Linked DNA regions of Oryctolagus cuniculus. The protein of the gene in region 1 interacts with the protein of each later gene in a biochemical or structural test. Links are inferred from orthologs where the notes say so. Each region holds a gene or a part of one and is shown in the gene's direction. Other genes may lie near its edges.

Region 1 (10,532 bases):
CCCGTGATAGAAGACGCCCGGCACCCGCACAAATACCGCATGCTCATCGGTGAGCCGTCTGGACGCCGGCCCAGCTGGGTGGGACAGGCCTCCAGGTTTCCGGGTTGGGCCGGCAGAGCCTGGCTCCGGATGGAATTCGAGTCGATGCGCAGGCCTCATGAGTCTACAGGAGTGAGAGGGGCAGCGGGAGGCAGGCGAGGCTGCAGAGGCGGCGACCTGGCCACGGGGCCCCCTCCTCTGCTCTAATCTCCCCTTCCTCAGGGCCCCTGTAGCCTCCCCAAACCATGGCCCTTTCCCCACTGCCCTGGCTTGCCAGGAAAGCCTCCTTCAGGGTCCTTGTCGGCACCTGGTGAGATCCTCGCCCAGCCAGCACACACTGGGCAGAGCCTGGCCTGGGGGGCCTCTTGTGAATGGGACAGCTGTTGTTTTAAAAAAATTCTAAAGCAGGTGTAACACGGGCTCACAGGGGCGGCGCCCTCTAAAACCACCCTGGAGGTAACTGATCGGAACGAGCAGCCCCTGCCCTTTCCAGTTCTGAAGCTCAGTTTTCATTAGGTCACATCATCGTCTATTTTGTTTCTTTTTTAAAATCACACCTTACAGACTGCCTTTCCCTCTACTCCAAGCTTTTCCCTGGGCACGCTTCCCACTGCCCTGTGCTGCAGGCGCGCTTGCCCATGAGTGATCACCCTCTCTCGTCTTGATGACACGTCCATCAACCCCTGCCCCCGGGTCTGACTGGTCTCTGTGTCCCCCACGCCCGGGTCTGAGTCGTCTGCGTCCCCCACGTCTGGCCCAGGGCTGGCCACAGGGAGGGGGCAGCCATGGTTCTGAGAGTGAAGGAATGATGCGTGACTGGATTCTGAGCCCATCTCGGGGTGCTGTGGAGGGAGGGGGTCAGTGTGGGGGGAGGGAGACCTTCCAGGGCCTGCTGATGGTGCGCAGGCCCCCCGGGAGGAGCTGAGCTCTTGGGTGGGTCCAGCTTTGACTGGCAGCCCTTTCCCCGTAGCAATGGTGGACGTGATCTTTGCTGATGTGGCGCAGCCAGACCAGACCCGGATTGTGGCTCTCAATGCCCACACCTTCCTGCGGAATGGAGGACACTTTGTGATTTCCATTAAGGTACCAGGCTTGGGGGAGTCGAAGGTGGGCTGGCAGCGTCCCAGGGAGGTGTTTTCTCTGCCAAGCAGCCAGTCAAAACAAGGGGACTGGGGTGGTGTTTAGCCTAGTGGTTAGATGCCCATGTGCACCATATCAGAGAACCTGGGTTTGAGCCCCTGCTGTGATCGCTCAAATGAGTGGACTTCTGCCGCCCAGGTGGAGGATCTGGACTGAGTCCCAGGCTTCAGCCTCGGTTCCTGGCCACTCCCAGCATTTGGGGAGGGAACCAGCAAATAGCACCTCTCTGGTTGCATAGGCGATCTCTCTTTGTCTCTGCCTCTCAAATTAGTTGATTAAAAACCTTTTAAAGGCAGGCGGGCCTTGGCCAGTCTATCCCAGCTCCTCACAAGCCTCCCCTGCCCCCGGTCAGATAGCACAGCATAGAATACCTGTAGAACCCAAAGCGTGGCGTCCAGAGCCAAGGCGGCGTGGTGGCCAAGGGCACGGCCGCTGGGTCTGTTTTCCAGCGTGCTGTGCTGTGCAACTTCAAGCAAGCTGCTTAACCTGTGTGCCTCTGTCTTGTGAAATACACGTTTTGGCCCTATCTCAGGGTTGATGTAAGGATCAACTCAGTCTACATGGAGGGCTTAGAAGAGATACTGCACAGACGCTAGGTGCATTTTTCAGAACCATTTACTTTGCAATTAGAACGCGCGTAGCCGCCACCAGCTTCGCCACTTGCTGGCATTTTGTTGCCTGTGCCCGGGAAACTAGCTTTAGGTGACAGGAGGTTGCTAGGACTTCCTGCCGGGCCTGGGCCTGAGGCTGCTTAATGAACCAGGCTTCCCCTAGCGGCGCTGGCGGTGCTAGGCAAAGGCAAACCACGCGGGCTCTGGCTCCTTCCTCCCCGCAGGCCAACTGCATCGACTCCACCGCCTCGGCCGAGGCCGTGTTCGCCTCAGAGGTGAAGAAAATGCAGCAGGAGAACATGAAGCCCCAGGAGCAGCTCACGCTGGAGCCGTACGAGAGGGACCACGCTGTGGTCGTGGGCGTGTACAGGTGAGCCGGCGCCCGGCGGTCCTGGGGCCCCCGGACCCCCGAGTGGTGGCCAGCTGTAACCCCGCCCTTGTCCCCATCTGCTCACAGGCCGCCGCCCAAGGTGAAGAGCTAAAGTTCAGTGCTGTGTGGATGTCGAGAGATGCGTGTTGTGCCGTGGCTCCTGTGTTTTTCTATTAAAATGACTTCTCCGTGGTCCCTGTCTGCCGCTGATTGCGCCGTGACCGCGGTGGACAGCAGGGTGCATGCGCCCTTGGTCAACTTTGTGTGGCGGGCAGGGGAGGGAGGCGGGAGGGTCAGTCCGCCCCACAGCGCATGCTCTGTTCCGCGCTGCCCCCCCCCCCCCCCCCCCCCCCCCCGGGCAGAACGGGGATTCGGCTACTCGGGCGGGATTGGTAGTTCACTGCGCATGCTTGCGGGTGAGCACAGGAAGGGCGCATGCGCGGAGTATTACCCTGGGTCACGTGAGGGGGCGGACTGGGGTAGGGGCGGAGCCTGGGGCGGGTTGGGGGGGCGGTTTGTTGTGGTCGCCATTTTGCTGGTTGCATTACTGGGTAATCAGGGCCCTGGCTGGCCGTGTCTGCCGGATACCCTCAGCCAGTGGGCAGATCTGAGCTCGGGCCGCCCGAGCACTTTGAGTCCCCTTGCCCGCGCCCTCAGGTAACAACACGGGGACAGCCGGGGCAGCACGCGCTGCTGGGGGGAAAGACGGGATGGGATCCGCCCTGCCCGCGTAGCTTCGAGACTTAGCACGAGGCCGAGGGAGGAGAAGAGAGGAGGGGAGCGAGGTTCCGGCAGGTGCGGGCTGCGCTTGCCTATTCATAGTCCGATTCCTGGAAAAGGCCGGGCCAGGGGAGCCGTCTTGGGAGGAAGGCTGGGAGGGGGTAATCGGGCCCCACTCCCGCCCTTTGTTTGGGCTCGGCTCCGCCGGCCGCATCGTCGTTGCCTAGCAACAGCTGCCCCAGGCTGGGATTGGTTGAGCTCTTGGTAGCAGTGGCCAATGGCGCGGTTGTTGCCATGGCAGGTGCAGATTGCCAAGCTCGGTGAAACCCCGCCTGCTGGGGCGGGCCTCCTGGGTGGGGGGCGGGACGCTGGGGTCCCTGGAGGCGGATGGCCGCTCAGGGTGGGGCGGGTGGGGCGAGGGTTAACCCGCCCCTCCCCCGTCCACCTGCTCTCCCCTTCCCCCGCGTGCCCTGGGCTGACCCGAGTCCCCTCCTTTCCCCGCCCCCGGCAGCGGCGGCGGTAGCGGCGGCTGCTGTTGTCACCCACCGGGCCGCCTGTCCCGCTTGCCCTCCCCGCCGCGGGGCTCGCCGGGCCGGCCAGGCCGGGGACAGGCGGCCACCTTCTCGCCACTGCCGCCGCCGCCACCGCCATGCTGGCCGCTCGCCCACCCAACTGGGGGCCCCACCGCGCCCCAGCCCCTCGTGGGTCCCGCACCAGCCCTGACCCCGGTAGGGGATGGGGGCTGGGAGAGCCGATGCTAGTGTGGGAGGGGGGGTTAGCGCCAAGAGAGTAAGGGTCCTGGAGTGGCAGGCGTGGGAAGGAGAAAGGGATCTGACATTGGGGAAGACCCGTGAGGAGAAGATTCTGTGGTGCTGGCTGCTCCGGGAGTAGAAAACATTATGTGGGCTTGTCTGTTGGGGCCTTCTAGGAATGGTCACATCTGGGGAACGACTCTCGTATGGAGAGGGGTAACTGGAGAAAGGGCCCTTGTAGGAATATTGGGTAGTGCAGGGTGGGGGAGGGCAGGGGTCCAGTGGGGGGAGAAAGGGAGATCACCGTGAGCGTGGGAAGACACCTCCCCGTTGCTCCCATCGGGAGGAACGTGTTGATTGGGAGGGGGTCTCGGGGTGACCCAGGGAAGAGCCCAGTGTGACCGCAGGAAAGTGGACTATGGTGAGGGAGGCTCCCAGGAGAAGGCCCTGCTAGGGGGAGAGGACTTGGTGTGACCGGAGGGTGTCTTGGGGGAGAGATGTGTGCTGGTGTGGGAGCGTGCCCCAGAGGCGGCTCTCGGGTCACCCCGGTGTGGCTAGGAGATCCCCGAGGACCCCGACACGGTTCCAGGGCCTGCAGAGGGCTCGGCTGTGGTGAAGGGGGAGGGGCGGCCAGATCCGGAGTCCTCTGGCTTAGAGGAGCCTGTGGGACGGGGTGAGCCCCTGGTGCTCAGGGAAGACTGCAGGAGGGGCCCAGGCGGCCACAGGTAGAAGTGGGAAGGAGAGAATGAGCCCTGTGCCGCCTGTGGTCGGTGCTTTCTGTCATTATCCTCTTCTCTCCCCCGATTGTCGGTGTCTGTCCTGTCCTGGGCATGCCCGTGTCCCCCACCCCCACCACGCCTGGCTCCCAATGCTCCCTTTTATGTGTCCTGCTGCTGCCTCCTCCACGTACTTGGTCATCGTTTGTTGGGCTCTGCCTGCCCCCTCTCTGTCCCCCTTGTCGCTGCTGTCACTGTGCCCCCCCCCATTGCTTACGCCTACCCCTTCCCTGCCTGGCACCGCCCCACATGTCCCCTCGTTCCGTGTTGTCTCCCCGTCTCCTGCTACTCCCAGGTCTCAGCGGCGGTGGCAGCCGAGGTGCAGGATGCGAGAAGGCGCCCCCCGGCCGGGCTCCCGCTCCAGGCCTCGCACCCCTGCGGCCCTCTGAGCCCACCATGGCTGTCCCACCAGGCCATGGTCCCTTCTCTGGCTTCCCAGGGCCCCAGGAGCACACGCAGGTATGTGTTCACCTGAGGGGGGCCCACTTCCCTGGGGGTCAGGGAGACTTGGGATGGAAGAGTCTCAGGACTGCAATCAGTGTGGTTGTCTGGAACCATCTCCCTGGGCAGGATGGGGCCCCTGGGAGTGGAGGTCCCCTGACCTGGGAGAATCTGGGTTCAAATACTGATGTCAGTTTTCAAATCTATAAAATGGGGCCAGTAACGCTGCCCACCCCACAGGGCTGCCCTGAGGGTGAAACGAGGTAGAGAAATGCTGAGGACGGCGCCTGGCCCGGCGTCAATGCCCAGGAGTGGTCACTGGGACAAAGGAGGCTGGGCTGGGGCGTCTGGGGAGGTGGACTGGCTGGGGAGTTGAGCGCCTAGGGCCTGGGTGGCACAGGGTGAAGCTACCGAGGACAGAGCAGTGAAGGCTCTGAAGTGTAGGACTCGGAGCAGGGTGCACTGGGAGGCCAGGCGCCTCCCCCAGACCCAGAGCCTAGTGAGGAAGAGCGGGTGAAGGCGCTCAGGCCTGGAGGGTGAAGGCTGGGAGGCCTGAGGGGCACAGGAAATTGAGCTGAGGTCCTTCCGAGGAGGGGTCCCAGAGTGGAGCGGGTCAGGCTGGAGGGCTGCAAGGGCAGGGCCAGGTTTTCCTGCGCAGTTCAGGAAGGAGGAAGCGGGGGTGAAAACGCCAGCTGAGGCTCCGGGAAAACTCAGGAAAATGCAAACGAAAATAAACAAACAAACGCCATGCATACAAAGAGATCTTCAAAAAGTTGTAATCAAAAATCCATGACAAAGGCATATGAATTTTCAAAAGGCATTTCGCACCAAAAGAATCTCTTAATTCCATTTTCCCAAGAACTTCGTTGAAATCCCCTTATGAATGGCACACGCGCTCATCAGCCTGACAAACACCGCGCCGTGCCAGGCCCTGCTCTAGGCAGGCTGCTCCGTCCATGGGGAGGCCGTTCCAGCAGGGATCCCTGGCCGGGCAGGCGGGGAGCCGGCAGCGCCCTTGCTGAGGCTGGAGGTGAAGACCCGCCTCCATGCCCACCGCCTCCTTGCCCTGCAGGTGCTGCCTGATGTGCGGCTGCTGCCCCGGAGGCCGCCCCTGGCCTTCCGGGACGCCACCTCAGCCCCGCTGCGCAAGCTCTCTGTGGACCTCATCAAGACCTATAAGCACATCAATGAGGTGGGCCCAGGCTTGGGGGGGAGGTGTGCCCTGGGCCGGGCGCGAGGGGCCTGGCTGCCACCACAGGTCACTCACCACGCTGTTTCCCTTGGCGGCCGGGCAGGTGTACTATGCCAAGAAGAAGCGGCGGGCCCAGCAGGCGCCGCCCCAGGACTCCAGCACCAAGAAGGAGAAGAAGGTCCTGAACCACGGTTACGATGACGACAACCATGACTACATCGTGCGCAGCGGCGAGCGCTGGCTGGAGCGCTACGAGATCGACTCGCTCATCGGCAAAGGCTCCTTCGGCCAGGTGTGGACACGGCCCCGTGGCCCCCACTCCTGTTGACCCGTCTCCCGGTGGCTCAGTGGCTTCAAGGTCCGCTCGCAGTCACTTTCCTTGCGTCTTGTTTCCTTCTGTAAAACAGTGCTAATAGCAAGACGCGTGGTTCTGTGCCCTGGTCGCCCCAGTGTCTCCCGTGATGAGCACCCAGCTGTGTTGGCAGTGCTGGGAGCTGCCCTTCCCTGTCCCCCTCCCCCGCCCCCCTTGGTGACGCGGCCTGCCCTGCCCCACAGGTGGTGAAAGCCTATGACCATCAGACCCAGGAGCTGGTGGCCATCAAGATCATCAAGAACAAAAAGGCCTTCCTGAACCAGGCCCAGGTCGAGCTGCGGCTGCTGGAGCTGATGAACCAGCACGACACGGAGATGAAGTACTACATAGGTGAGGCCGGGAGGGTCGCCCGCGGAGGGGCGGGTGTGTGTGTGTGTGTGTGTGTGTGTGTGCGCGTGCGCGCCTGCGCTCTGTGCCGCTCGGGCCAAGCTCGCTGGGGGCCGACTGCCCGAGGGAAGGGGCGGCACTGCCCACGTCCACATCTCGGGATAAACCGTGGCCCCGAGGCGCCGTCACCTGTAGGAGGTGATCCCTTGTACTCTGCAGAGCTGTAACGTCGGGGCAGAGGCCTCCAGAGTCGTTATTCTTAGCAACTGTGCTTGTTCCTCTTTCTTGAACTAATTCCTCCTAGGAAAGGCAAACGGATTTCTTTTAAAAGGAAAACTTAGGGATCCTTTGTCCCTGAAACAGAACTAAGCTGCAGACTGGTCCACAGTTAGATGAGGAAGTGTGGGACCGGGTGGAAGACTTACTGTAGCTCATGGGAACTTTCACTTTGGTTTCATCGGAAGGTTTGACAGAGACTAGAAAAGAGATTGACTTCCTGTGTGAACTGAGTTATAAAAATATCACGGCCAGCAGCTGGTCCCCGCAGGCCGCGCTCCCGGGTGACCCGGGCAGCAGCAGCCAGCCCTGAGCCCGCCGCCTCTCCGTCTCCTGCAGTGCACCTGAAGCGGCACTTCATGTTCCGGAACCACCTGTGCCTGGTGTTCGAGCTGCTGTCCTACAACCTGTATGACCTCCTGCGCAACACACACTTCCGCGGCGTCTCGCTGAACCTGACCCGGAAGCTGGCGCAGCAGCTCTGCACGGCGCTGCTCTTCCTGGCCACGCCCGAGCTCAGCATCATCCACTGCGACCTCAAGCCCGAGAACATCCTGCTCTGCAACCCCAAGCGCAGCGCCATCAAGATCGTGGACTTCGGCAGCTCCTGCCAGCTGGGCCAGCGGGTGAGGGGCGGGGCTGGCGGTGGGTGTGGCCAGAGCAGGGGCGGGGCTGGCGGGTGGGTGTGGCCAGAGCGGGCTGGGGCTGGTGGGTGACCGGGCACAGGAGAGCCCTACAGGGTGCGCTGCCCACTAGGAGGGAGGGGAAGCCTGAGCGGGCAGGGTGTGGGCGGGGCGAAGCTGGGCTGCTTTTGGGCCTGGAAGGGCGGAGGGGAGGGGCTTCAGCTGTGCAGCCCCGTGTGAGAGGTGTTTGGCGAGGTCAGGGCCAGGCCCGCAGAGACCCTGACGCTGCCCAGTGTGGTGGTGGCAGTGGCTCCCCGGAAACTGGTGCTGAGAACGTTGGGATCTGGATCCTCCATTTCCAGATTGGGGTCAGAAGCTTGTCCTCAGCTGGGTCCTCTAGCCAAGGCTGGGCCCCTGACTGTCGCCCTCCCTGCAGATCTACCAGTATATCCAGAGCCGCTTCTATCGCTCGCCTGAGGTGCTCCTGGGCACGCCCTACGACCTGGCCATTGACATGTGGTCCCTGGGCTGCATCCTCGTGGAGATGCACACTGGGGAGCCCCTCTTCAGCGGCTCCAATGAGGTGCGCCCCCAGGAAGGGGTGCGCTGGAGGGGGCGGGGTGGAGCCTGGCCAGCCTGCTAACCTGACCCTGCCCGCTCACAGGTGGACCAGATGAACCGCATTGTGGAGGTGCTAGGCATCCCGCCAGCCCCCATGCTGGACCAGGCCCCCAAGGCCCGCAAGTACTTTGAGCGGCTGCCTGGGGGTGGCTGGACCCTACGAAGGACAAAGGAACTCAGGAAGGTGCGGCCCCTGCCCCGCGCCACTCCCCCTGCCCTGGGTGGCCCCTCACTCTCTCACACTCGGGGCGCCCCCTCCCCCTGCCGCCTCCCCTGTGTCTTTCCCGTCCTACCTCTTCCCCTCGTCTGCCCACCCCATCTCTCCTGCCCTCCCGCTGGCTTTTCTTGGCCTCTCTCTCCGCCTTCTCTCTGTTTCCCCGTGTGTGTCTCCCTGCCCCTCCTGCCCACTGACGGCCACTCTCTTGCCCCCCCTCCCACCCCCTCCCTGCCAGGATTACCAGGGCCCCGGGACACGGCGGCTGCAGGAGGTGCTGGGCGTGCAGACGGGCGGGCCCGGGGGCCGGCGGGCGGGGGAGCCGGGCCACAGCCCCGCCGACTACCTCCGCTTCCAGGACCTGGTGCTGCGCATGCTGGAGTACGAGCCCGCCGCCCGCATCAGCCCGCTGGGCGCTCTGCAGCACGGCTTCTTCCGCCGCACGGCCGACGAGGCCACCAGCACGGGCCCGGCAGGCAGCAGTGCCTCCACCTCGCCCGCACCCCTCGACACCTGCCCCTCCTCTAGCACCACCAGCTCCATCTCCAGCTCGGGTGGGTGCCCAGTGCCCAGAGCGGGGGACCACAGGGGTGGGGGCGCCTCTGACCTTGGCCTCTGGGCTGTCACACAGCAGCTCTGAAGTGGCCTGATCCTGAACTCCCAAACGGGCTGGGGTGGAGGAGCTGCAGGTGACCGTGACCGTGACGCCATCTCCAAAACATGGCTTGTGGCCGGACGCCTAAAACTGGCTCTGGCTTTAACACCCCCAAATCTCAAAAACTGGGCCCGAGCCTTCCAGTGGGCTGTGATCACCCGAGCCATAACCTAGGCCTGGGGCCATCAGCCAGGCTCAGCCAGCCCCAGACCCTGCCACCGGCTCCCTCAACCGTGGCTTTTCTCTCCTCTCGTGCTTCCAGGAGGCTCCAGTGGCTCCTCCAGCGACAACCGGGCCTACCGCTACAGCAACCGCTACTGTGGGGGTCCCGGGCCGCCCATCACTGACTGTGAGATGAACAGCCCCCAGGTACTGGAGGCTGGGGGCTGTGGAGGCGGGCGGTGGGGTGCCTGGGGCTGCAGGACCCCAGGCTCCATCACCCACTGCTCCTTTGCTCCTTTAGGTCCCACCCTCCCAGCCGCTGCGCCCCTGGGCAGGGGGTGATGTGCCCCATAAGACACATCCAGCCCCTACCTCTGCCTCGTCACTGCCGGGGCCCGGGGCCCAGATGCCCCCCCAGCCCCGCTGCCTTGGCCGGCCCCCGTCACCAACCTCACCGCCACCCCCGGAGCTGATGGACGTGAGCCTGGCGGGCGGCCCTCCGGACTGCTCCCCGCCTCACCCCGCGCCTGCCCCCCAGCACCCGGCTGCCTCAGCCCTGCGGACTCGGATGACGGGAGGTCGCCCGCCTCTCCCACCCCCTGATGATCCTGCCACTCTGGGGCCTCGTCTGGGCCTCCGGGGTGTGCCGCAGAGCACGGCGGCCAGCTCATGACCCTGCCCCCTCCCTGGGGCCCCTCCTGAAGCCATACCCTCCCCCCACGTGGGGGCCCTGGGCTCCCATCCTCATCTCTCCCCTTGACTGGAATTGCTGCTACCCAGCGGGGGCGGGTGAGGCCTGCACTGACGGGCCTGGGGCAGGGGGTCGAGGAGAGGGGTTTGCTCAGACCCTCCCACTAAGGACTGGACCCTTGGCTCCCCCTCCCCCCTTGTTTTCTATTTATTGTACCAAAGACAGTGGTGGTCCGGTGGGGGGAGGCTCCCCTCCTCCCAGGGCCCTAGGAGGGGGCGGGGGCAGGTAGGGGGAGATGGCCTTGCTCCTCCTTGCTGTACCCCCCAGTAAAGAGCTTTCTCACACGCCTGCCTGAGCGTCTGCAGGGCCTCCGCTCCCCTTACCCGGCCCGCCGAGGCATGGTGGGAGGAGCATTTGGGGAGGGGGTGCCGAGAGATTTTGGTGGTGCGGCTCCAGGTGCGACCCCGGCCGGCATTAACCTTCCTAGCGTAAACTGGCACCCAGACAGGCTGCGGCCCGTGTTCGGGAAACACCGTGTTCCTTCGGCCC
Region 2 (10,037 bases), on another chromosome or scaffold:
GAGCCCCCTCTGCTCGCCAGGCCCTGTCTGAAGGGCTTCATCCCTGTGCGAAACGCACCCAGCTCTCCCAGCAGCTGCAGGAGTGAGGCGCGGATTTGCCCTGTGTCGCAGGGCAGGCATGGGCTGTGCGAGTGCACAGGAGCTGGGGCGTAGTCAGCAGGGGAATGCCTGGAGACCTGGCCATGGTTCTGAGCTGGGGCAGCTGTGCTGACAAAGGAGCTGTGTTCTTGGAGATTGGGGCAGGGGTGGAGGAAGGGAGAGGGAGAGAGGGAGGGAGAGAGAGAGGGGGGCACAAAGAGTGAGGATGGACATGAACAGGGCAGCAGCAGGCAGTGGACCTTCCGCCGCGGGAGGCAGGGCAGAGGGTGGTGGCTGGGGTGGGGGAGGGAGGCCATGGGGCCGCCCGCCCTGCAATCAGATAAACATGTTTGCCAGACACGGTGGCAGGCTGCACTTTGGACCGCCCTTCCCTCCTGGCTCTCTCGGCGTGGGGGGAGGGGAGCGGTGGGGAAGAGAGGACCCCAGGAGCCTCTGAAATCAGTGAGAAGCAGAGCCAGGGAGAGGACTGTTGGCGGGGGGTGGGGGGGCGTACTATGAGATATTCTTCCCAGGGGTGTCACCCTGGGCAAGTGACGTCAGCTTCCGGAGTCTCGGTTTTCTCACCTGTGGAGTGGGCATGGGAGCGGCACCTGCTTCCTGGAGTCGCTGGAAGCCTGAGGCAGCCAGCCCCTAGCACAGCGCCGGGCTCAGAGAGAATCTGCAGGGAACACGCTTCCCCCCGGCTTCCCTCTGTCCACAAGCGGGACGTCATGTGCCCGCTGCTGACCTCCTGAGAGGCCCCTGTCCCCTCCCTCTTCCCGTCTTTGCCTTTCTGGAAGGGGCTGATAAAACAGCAGACAGAGGGGCAGAGCTGAGGCACGCAGAGCTCTGTGCCCTGGCACCTGGCACCTGGCACAGCCCGGCCAGGGCCGGTCCTTGAGGACAGGGTGGTGGTCAGCCTCCCAGTGCTGGAGGCTTGTCGTCGTGGGGCGGCCGTATCACTGTTCCCTAAAGAGCATGCGCCTCCTAGAGGTGACTTAAAGTCCTCGGATGACACTTGAAGGTTACACACAAATACTAAGCCGGGCTCTCCGAGGGATGAGGGCATCCGCGGAGCTTGGTGTCTGCAAGGGGTCCTGGCCCCGCTCCCCCGTGGACGCCGAAGGAAGACTGTGTGTGGAGATGGCGTAGCGTGTACCATCAGTGCGTCACGTGCTTTGATGCATGCGACCCCTCACCCGGCCCCCGCACACCTTCCCTGCTGGAGGCCATCGGGAGCAGCTCAGCCTGGGGCGTGGAGCCCAGGGCTCACGCACACAGTACTGGCTCACGGAGGCCCCTGCGTGCCCGTAACCCCTTCCCCTGGGACCCTGCTGAAGAAGCAGCAGGTGCCCTGCTCTCTGGGAAGTCAGCCGGCCGCTGCCGAGGGCAGGGCGCAGGTTTTCAGGAGGTACCGCGGCTCTGCGATCTCTGCCTGATGGGCTGGCGACTTAAACCAAACCCCTTCTGGTGGGAGGGCACGCAGTGGGGCTGGCCCCATCCACAGGCAAGTGGGGTGAGCTCTCTGAGCCGCAGTGGTGCTGGCTATAAAATGGGAGAGCCTGCATTCTCCTCCTTGTTTTCAGGTTCAGTGTTTTTCTTTCTCTGGTAGATCTCCCTCATCCATCCATCCACCCACCCATCCATCATCCACACACCCATCTGCCATCCACACATCCACACATCCTCCCATCCACCCATCCACCCACCCACCCATCTGCCATCCAATCTCCACCCATCTACCATCCATCCATCCATCCATTTCTCACCCATCCGCCTGTCCCTCTGCCCACCCATCCCACACCCACCCACTCGTCCCTGTGTGCCCTAATGGCCTACTCTTTGTCAGGCCCACTTCGGGTGCTGAGTGAGAACCAGACATTTCCCACCTAACATGTCCACTCCCAGACCCTCAGTGAATAGCACGGCCACCAGTAACACTGTCAGGTAGGATGAGGGGAAGCACTTTAAAGGCCCAATTGGGGAGGACCCTCCCCAAGGGGCCTGTGCAGTCAGGAGTCCACTCACATTGACGTTGGTGTCCACATGTCTCCAAGTCTCGGTCCCCACGTCCCTGTGTCTTGGCATGAGTGACAACACCTCCCTACCTCCAGGGCTGGGTGCAGGCTGCACAGCTGCTGTCATCCACGGTCCCCACCTCCACGACTGGCAAGTGCTCACGGGCCCCCTGGAGACCCCCCCCCCCCCCGCTGAGCCGAGCTGTCCTCGCCTTCCTCCCAGGGAGGACCCGTGGCGCGTGGCCAAGATGGTCAAGTCGTACCTGCAGCAGCACAACATCCCGCAGCGCGAGGTGGTCGACACCACCGGCCTCAACCAGTCGCACCTGTCCCAGCACCTCAACAAAGGCACCCCCATGAAGACGCAGAAGCGTGCTGCCCTGTACACTTGGTACGTCCGCAAGCAGCGAGAGGTGGCCCAGCGTAAGTAACCACTCCAGGACGCGCCCCACTCCGAAGAGGGGGCTGGGAGCCTCTCACCCCCGGGAGATCTCTTGCACCCATCTGCTCATCCATCTTCACAGACAGGGAGAGAGAGAGAGAGAGAGAGAGAGAGGCGGGGAGGGGAGGAGAGAGACAGAGAGAAGTCCCTTCTACTGGCTCCCTCGCCAAATGCCCGCAACAGCCAGCATGGAGCCAGGCCACAGCCAGGAGCCAGGAGCTCAATCCAGGTTTCCATGGGGACAGCAGGGACTCACTCAGCTCCCTGAGCCGTCACCTGCTGCCTCCTAGTGTGTGCGTCAGTAGGAAGCTGGAGCAAAGAGAGGAGCTGGGACCGGAGCCCAGGCACTGTAGCATGGGGTGTGGGGGTCCCCAGGGGCGTCTTCACGGCTGCACCAAACATGGACCCCATCAGATACATCTTCTCACTGATCTTACTCTTTCAAGGGGCTTCTGGCCCTTGGTGGAGGCACCATTACTGGTTTAACTGGCCACCGACCCACAGACTTCTAGGGTTTTCCCAATCTGTAATTACAACCGTCTGCTGCAGCGAACAATCGTATTTGCCTAAGTTTGTGCTCACTGAGTGTGTCTGCAGCAATCACTCCCGGGGTGGGACGCTGGGCTGGAGGGCAGGAGCTTTAGCATCTCTGCTGCGGGTCAGGCACCGCGGCACAGCAGGCTAAGTCGCTGCCTGGGACACCCACTCTCCACATCAGAGAGGCGGGATGAAGTCCCACTGCTGCTCCTGACCCAGCTTTCTGCTGATGTGCCTGGGAGGCAGCAGGTGTTGGCCCAAGTGCTTGCTCCCTGCCACCCATGTGGGAGACTCAGATGGAGTCCCTGGCTCCTGCCTTTGGCTTGGTCCAAATGCCCTGGCTGTTGTGGGCATTTGGAGAGTGAACCAGTGGATGGAAAATCTCTCTCTTTCTGTCTCTCCCTGCCTTTGTCACTCTGTCTTTCAAATAAATAAATAAATAATACATAAAACATTTGGCAGACACTGCCATAGTTTGTTTTAAACTAGTGGCCTCCATTTGCCTGCCCACCAGAAAAAATCACTGTTGGAAAAAAACGCACCCCACACAACCTCGGATCCTTGCCCATGCCTACCCTGGCTCTAAGCGCTGGGGCATTCGCTTCTGCTGCCCTTCAGTGCACACTGGGAAAGCAAGTGCAAAGCAATGCATGTTTTGTACTTTGAACATTTTCTGTGAGAATAATAAAAACTTCCTTGGAGAGGTGGGTGTTTGGCCTGGGGGTTCAGAAGCCAGTGTCCCCTATCAGACTGCCTGGGCTCGGTCCCCGCTCCAGCTCCCGACTCCAGCTTCCTACTGAGCAGACCCTGGGAGGCAGTGGGGATGGCTCAACTAGCCGGGTCCCTGCCGGCCACAAGGGAGCGCGGGATTGAGTTCCAGGCTTTCAGCGTAGGCCTGGCCCAGTCCCGGCTGTTGTGGCACCGGGGAGTGAACCGGTGGATCCGAGCTCTGTCTGTCTCTCAAACTAAAAACAACTAAATGATTTTTTGAAAATCTGTTAGAACTAGGCTTAGCTTCTAGGCTTAGCACAAGGTGAAGCCGCCGCTGTAGCCGCGGACATGACCACCACAGAGCAGCACCAGCTCCCGCAAGCCTCCCCTTCCCGGGAGAGGGACCCCAACCCTGACTTCCGTCATCAGAGCCCTACTGTGGCTCTTTCTGAGTTGCACATAAAATCAAGCCAGCAGTGGCTGCTGCTTCTCCGTATCATGGGCGCAAACTCATCTTCTGCCCCTGTGTCCCAGGCCGGCCCACTCCGCTACGTGAATCCAATGGACTAATTCCGTCTTTGGCAGGCCTCGGGGTTTCTCCCCACGCTTTGCTGATGTGAACAGTGTCCCTGTGAATGTTCTAGTATGTGGCTCTCTCTGAGTGCATATCCACTTCTGCTGGGCTTGGAATGACTGGGTGAGCTCCACCCTCACAGGTGCCGCTGCACAGCCGTCGGCACCCCAGCCACAGTGTCTGAGCCCCAGGAGCTCCAGGCAGCGCTGCCAGCACCTGGTAGTGTCCGTAGTTTCCATTCTAGCTGTGGAGATGGTGGCATGGTACTGTGGCTTTAGAAAAATCTGTATTAGTTTACCTTTGAGAGAGACACGCACAGAGACGTCGCTCTCACTCGCTGGTTCACTCCCGAATGCCTACAGTAGCCAAGCCTGGGCCGGACCAGAGCTGGGAGCTGGGAGCTGGAGCCAGGGCTTCCACGGGTGGCAGGAGCCTGGAAGCTTGATCATCATCCCTGCTTCCCAGGGTGTGCGCTCACGGGAGGCTGGGCCTGGGAGCCAGAGCTGGGTGCTGAACCCATGCACTCTGAATGGGACCCTGGGGTCTGAACTGCCCACTTAGCTCTCATGTCCTCCACGAGTCCCCATGTGGGGCGTCCCATTTGGCTCTCAGGTCATCTGCCTTTTAATGGTGGGTCTGTAGGAGTTTTAAAAAGATACCATGCCCACGAGTCCCTTTGCAAGTAGATCCACAGCAAGTGTATCTCCCCACGCTGTTCTCCAGACTGCTTTTTGATGAACAGAAGTTCTTACTGTTTTTTTTTTTTTTAAGATTTATTTATTTATTTAAAAGTCAGAATTACACAGAGAGAGGAGAGGCAGAGAGAGAGTGAGAGAGAAGTCCTCCATCTGATGGTTGACTCCTCAGATGGCCATAACGGCCCGAGCTGCGCTGATCCGAGGCCAGGAGCCAGGAGCTTCTTCCGGGTCTCCCATGCGGGTGCAGGGGCCCAAGGACTTGGGCCATCCTCCATTGCTTTCCCAGGCCATAGCAGAGAGCTGGATCGGAAGTGGAGTAGCCAGGTCTTGAACCGGAGCCCATATGGGATGCTGGCGCTTCAGGCCAGGGCATTAACCCGCTGCGCCACAGTGCTGGCCCCATTCTTACTGGTTTTTTTTTTTTTTTTTTTTTTTTTATGGTTGGTACTTTTTTTGTGTTGTAAGAATTTTATCTAAGATCATGAAGGTAGACTCCTGTTCCTATGTATGAATTATAAAAGTTTATTTGAAAGGCAGAGAAGGCGAGGGAGAGGGAAGAGAGGCAGAGGGCGACAGGCATCGCCCATCCACTGGGTCACTCTCTCAATGTCCCCAGCGGGGAGCCAGGAACTCAACGTGGGTCTCCACATGGGTGGCAGGGACCCAATTGCTTGAGCCATCATCACCTGCTGCTCCCAGGAAGCTGGGATCAGAAGCGGAGCTGGGGCTCCAACCAGCCAAAGTGCTCCCTCACCCCTGCGCCCAGCGCCCGCCCCTCCTGTGCTTTCTCCCGCCGGCTTTACCCCGAGAGCCGCAGGCCAGCCGGGTCTGAGGACTTGCCTCTAGACGGAGAGTCAGCGTCCCGTCTCTTTCTCACAAGCAGCTCGGGCCTCTGCCCCTCTGTTTACAGCCTGAGTCGCCACTGCCCAGGGCCCGCTCTGTCCTCCTCCGCCACTGGCCACGCAGTGCCAGTAACTGGAAGGAGACCCAGGAAGCGGCGGGGGCCAGGGGCTGCCGTGGGCTCAGGAGGGTCCCCAGGAGGACTGGGGCTGCTTCCTGCGGAAGCGGGAGTGACACTTGCGGGCTGTGCCCCAACGGAGTGGATGTTATCAGGTGCAGCAGATGCAGCCGGGCATCGCATGGCACTCACGCAAGGACCTGGGCCGGCCGCTGCGGCTCGAGTGCTGGCCCTGCCCGGGACGCAGCTTTCTCGAGCTGCTGTTCCCCCTTCCAGGCGGCGGAGATAAACGGCTGTGGTGGTGCCGCGGGCGCTGTCCCATGGATGTGCTGTGGCAGTGTCCCGGGGACATGAGAGCGAGGCTAGGGCGGCTGTGCGGGGTCTCCCCGCTCAGGGCCCCCCAAACCTCTCCCACCCCGCCCCCGGCACATCCAGAATGGTGCAGGCCCCCTGCTTTGTATGTTTGGTGACTTACTAAACCTTTCGTTGTAGAACTCGTTTAGATTTCTGGACAATCCAGAAACTTCTCTGCAGCCCTCGCCCGGGTTCCCCTGTTATAAACACGAGCACGCTGCGCTTGTCACCAAGGACCACAGGGACAGCGCGGGCGATGGCCACGCTTCGTTCAGACGTCCTCACCCTCCCCGGAGGCCCCTTCCCGGCCCCGGGGCCCCAGCCGCTGTGCAGCCGGCAGTCGTCTTAGCCCCTCAGCCTTCCTGGTGACGATGCTTTCTCAGGCTGTCCGGGGTTTTGATGGCCTGGGTGTGGCCTTTTTTTGAGGTTTGGAGGCCACATTCTGGTGCCTTGTGCTCCGGATCTTGGTCCAGGCCCCTGCCAGCCCCCTGGGGCCACACCATGGTTGTAGATAGAAGGCAAATGGCCCATGGGGGTGGTCCCAGGGAGGGGTGGCGAAGCCATGGCTGTGATATTGTGGGCATCCGGGCCAGGGCAGCAGCGGGCAAGGCCTGGCTGTCAGCAGCTCCCTGCGCCTCCCTGGGTCCCTCCTGCGACTCTGGCTTCCTGCATGTGGATGGCGGGAGCCGGCCCCCTCCCCGCTCTGGCCCATTCCTTGGTGGCCTGCTCAGGGCTAATCTGATCAAAAGTGGAGACAGCCGAAGAGGGCTCTTCCTTCCTGGCTGACACTCATGTTTTCAGCCAGATTTCCAAGTCTGAGAGTTGCTGATAGCCCTGAATCAACTTTAGGATGTGACAGGGTTCAAGGTTCTGCCCTGCTGTGTGACTCTGGGAGACAGGGGATATCCCTCCCTGAGCCTCAGCTTCCCTGGAGCCTTGTATCCAGAAGGGCTGTGCGATGGTTTCCTGGCTTGGGAGACAACGTGCAGGTGTTGATTGGTGATGTCTGCCTCAGACACGGGTTAAGCAGGTGGTGGCACAAGCATTGGTCATCACTGGATGAGATGGTTTCCAAGTTGTAGCTCTGAGCTCCTCTCCGTCAACACCTGGGAAGGAGAGGAAGGCAGGGGCGTGGCCAGGGGCACTGCTGTGGGGAGGTGGGCGTGGCCAGTGCCCCCTGACAGCTCCCTGTGCCTCCAGAGTTCACCCACGCAGGGCAGGGCGGGCTGGCTGAGGAGCCCACAGGCGATGAGCTGCCCACCAAGAAGGGGAGGAGGAACCGCTTCAAGTGGGGCCCAGCGTCCCAGCAGATCCTGTTCCAGGCCTACGAGAGGCAGAAGAACCCTAGCAAGGAGGAGCGGGAGACGCTGGTGGAGGAGTGCAACAGGTAGGAGGACAGCCTGGTGGGCAGTGGGGCCGGCTTGGCTGGGCTGGGGCAAGGCTGGGGAAGGGGAAGGTGACCGGGCCCTGTAAGAGCACCTGCTGTGGGTTTAGCCCAGCCCAGGGAGGTGAGAGGACTCCTGCTCAGTGTCTTGAACTTAACTCCATTCCCAGCACCCCTTGGGTGGCTGCTTGTTGGCTGTTCTGCCTCACTTTATGAATGGACAGAGCTCAGAGAGGCTAAGTCACTTGCCCGAGGTCACACAGCAGAACTGGTCTTGGAACCGAGATCTGCCAGCCTCACGTGCGCAGGTACAGCGCCCCCTCTTGGGACCTTTTCATCCCCCGGAGAGGGTTCCGCTGAGCTGGCCTGTTTCTGCAGGGCGGAGTGCATCCAGAGGGGGGTGTCCCCCTCGCAAGCACAGGGGCTGGGCTCCAACCTCGTCACAGAGGTGCGCGTCTACAACTGGTTTGCCAACCGGCGCAAAGAAGAAGCCTTCCGGCACAAGCTGGCCATGGACACCTACAGCGGGCCTCCACCGGGGCCCGGCCCAGGACCCGCACTCCCTGCCCACAGCTCGCCCAGCCTGCCCCCTGCTGCGCTCTCCCCCAGCAAGGTCCACGGTGAGTGCTGTGTGGGCAGCTGCACTGGGGAGTGGGGGAGGGCTGCCCCCGCGGCAGCAGCCACGCACACCTCTGAGCTCTTCAGCTTGGTTCCGTGCACACCATGCTACCCTACTAACCGCACCCCACTGCGTGCACCCCACTCCAGTCTCCACACACACTGCATCTACTCCGCACACACACACATCCACTCCACACACACACTCATCCACTACACACACACACACACTACATCCATTCCACACACACTCATCCACTCCACACACACTGCATCCACTCCACACACACTGCATCCACTCCACACACACACACTGCATCCCCCCATCCTCACCACCTCCATTCCCTCCACTCTACTCCGTGCCCTCACCACTTCTCCTCATCGACTCCATTCACTCCACGCCTCTTTACCACTTTACTCTTCTCATTCACTCCACTATACTCCATTCATTTTTAAAAAGATTTATTTATTTATTTGAAAGTCAGAGTTACAGAAAGGGAGGGAGGAGAGGAAGTGAGGGAGAGAGAGAGGTCCTCCTTCCTCTGGTTTACTCCCCAAATGGCTACAGCGGCCGGAGCTGCGCCGATCTGAAGCCAGGAACCAGGGGCTTCTTCCGGGTCTCCCACATGGGTGCAGGGGCCCAAGGACTTGGGCCATCTTCTACTGCTTTCCCAGCCCATAGCAGAGAGCTGGATTGGAAGTGGAGCAGCTGGGACTCGAACCGGTGTCCATATGGGATGCTGGCACTGCAGGCGGCGGCTTTACCACAGCACCAGCCCCTCCCTTCATTCAATTCTAAACCAATCCACTCCACTCCACCAACCTCCCTCTTTCCCACTCCATCCTATACCCCTCACCTCCACTCCACCCACTGCCACCGACTCTCCAGTGCACCTCACCCGAGTCCACTCAACTCCATGCGTCCTAATCCACTCCGTCCACGGGGTCCACACCCCCACTCTTCACACTGCTCTGTGCTCAGTCACTCCCCTCTGCTCTGTTCACCCCTCTCTGTACGCAGCTCTGCCCCACCCGCCCCACCCAGCCCACTGCACACCGCTCCCAGCATCCCGCCCATGGGCTCCACACCTCCCATTGAATTCACTTCAGTTTAGTTCTTTCATCTCGGATCACACGAATGCACTTATGTTCAACTCATTACAACTCCATTTGGCTCATTTAAATGTGGTACAGTTGAATCAAACCAATACCCATTCTACCCATTCAGCTTGACGAAATGTAATTCAATGAAATTCAGTTAATTTTGCATAGCTCAGTTCAATTTCATCTAATTCAATTTAATCCAGTTCAGCTCAATCAAGCACAATTCATTTCAACTAGAGTCCATTTAATTCAAAGGATTCCAGTCCATTCAATTCAACTCCGTTCACTCATTTGTCTCATCAGCTTCAATTCAGTCCCCTCCCCTTTCCCTTCATTGAGCAACTGCCGCACAGTAGGGACAGCACTGGGAAGTCAGGGGCATGGAGCCTTTGCCTTCGAGGAGCTGCTGGCAGCCAGCGTGGAGCTAGGCACAGCCGGGCGTCCAGGCAAATGGTCTAAGGAACCCGTGGGGCTCACAATGATGTGGGTGTGGAGGTCAGGACAGGGAGGGAGGTGAGGGTGTGGAGGGGGTGAGACAGGGAGGGAGGTGAGGGTGTAGAG

The links. The genes of interacting proteins can lie anywhere in the genome.
Region 2: of the proteins of DYRK1B (region 1) and HNF1A, one has a biochemical effect on the other in vitro, tested with the Homo sapiens proteins (2 studies listed by IntAct, with this or other methods). The link is inferred for Oryctolagus cuniculus from reciprocal best matches to the Homo sapiens genes DYRK1B and HNF1A.

The regions. Positions count from the first base shown.
Region 1 is NC_091449.1:14,151,605-14,162,136, forward strand, and holds DYRK1B (dual specificity tyrosine-phosphorylation-regulated kinase 1B), read left to right. Parts: upstream 1-3,382; 5' UTR 3,383-3,529; coding exon 3,530-3,608; intron 3,609-4,232; exon of another isoform or gene 4,233-4,357; intron 4,358-4,703; coding exon 4,704-4,867; intron 4,868-5,921; coding exon 5,922-6,041; intron 6,042-6,144; coding exon 6,145-6,333; exon of another isoform or gene 6,334-6,437; intron 6,438-6,596; coding exon 6,597-6,744; intron 6,745-6,930; exon of another isoform or gene 6,931-7,041; intron 7,042-7,356; coding exon 7,357-7,643; intron 7,644-8,076; coding exon 8,077-8,223; intron 8,224-8,304; coding exon 8,305-8,445; intron 8,446-8,713; coding exon 8,714-9,029; intron 9,030-9,392; coding exon 9,393-9,499; intron 9,500-9,593; coding exon 9,594-9,965; 3' UTR 9,966-10,327; downstream 10,328-10,532. Other genes in the region: FBL (rRNA 2'-O-methyltransferase fibrillarin), read left to right, coding at 1-49, 1,010-1,122, 2,015-2,160, 2,248-2,272.
Region 2 is NC_091452.1:16,946,977-16,957,013, forward strand, and holds part of HNF1A (hepatocyte nuclear factor 1-alpha), read left to right. Parts: intron 1-2,319; coding exon 2,320-2,519; intron 2,520-7,570; coding exon 7,571-7,757; intron 7,758-8,132; coding exon 8,133-8,374; intron 8,375-10,037. UniProt on the Homo sapiens protein: Transcriptional activator that regulates the tissue specific expression of multiple genes, especially in pancreatic islet cells and in liver. Binds to the inverted palindrome 5'-GTTAATNATTAAC-3'.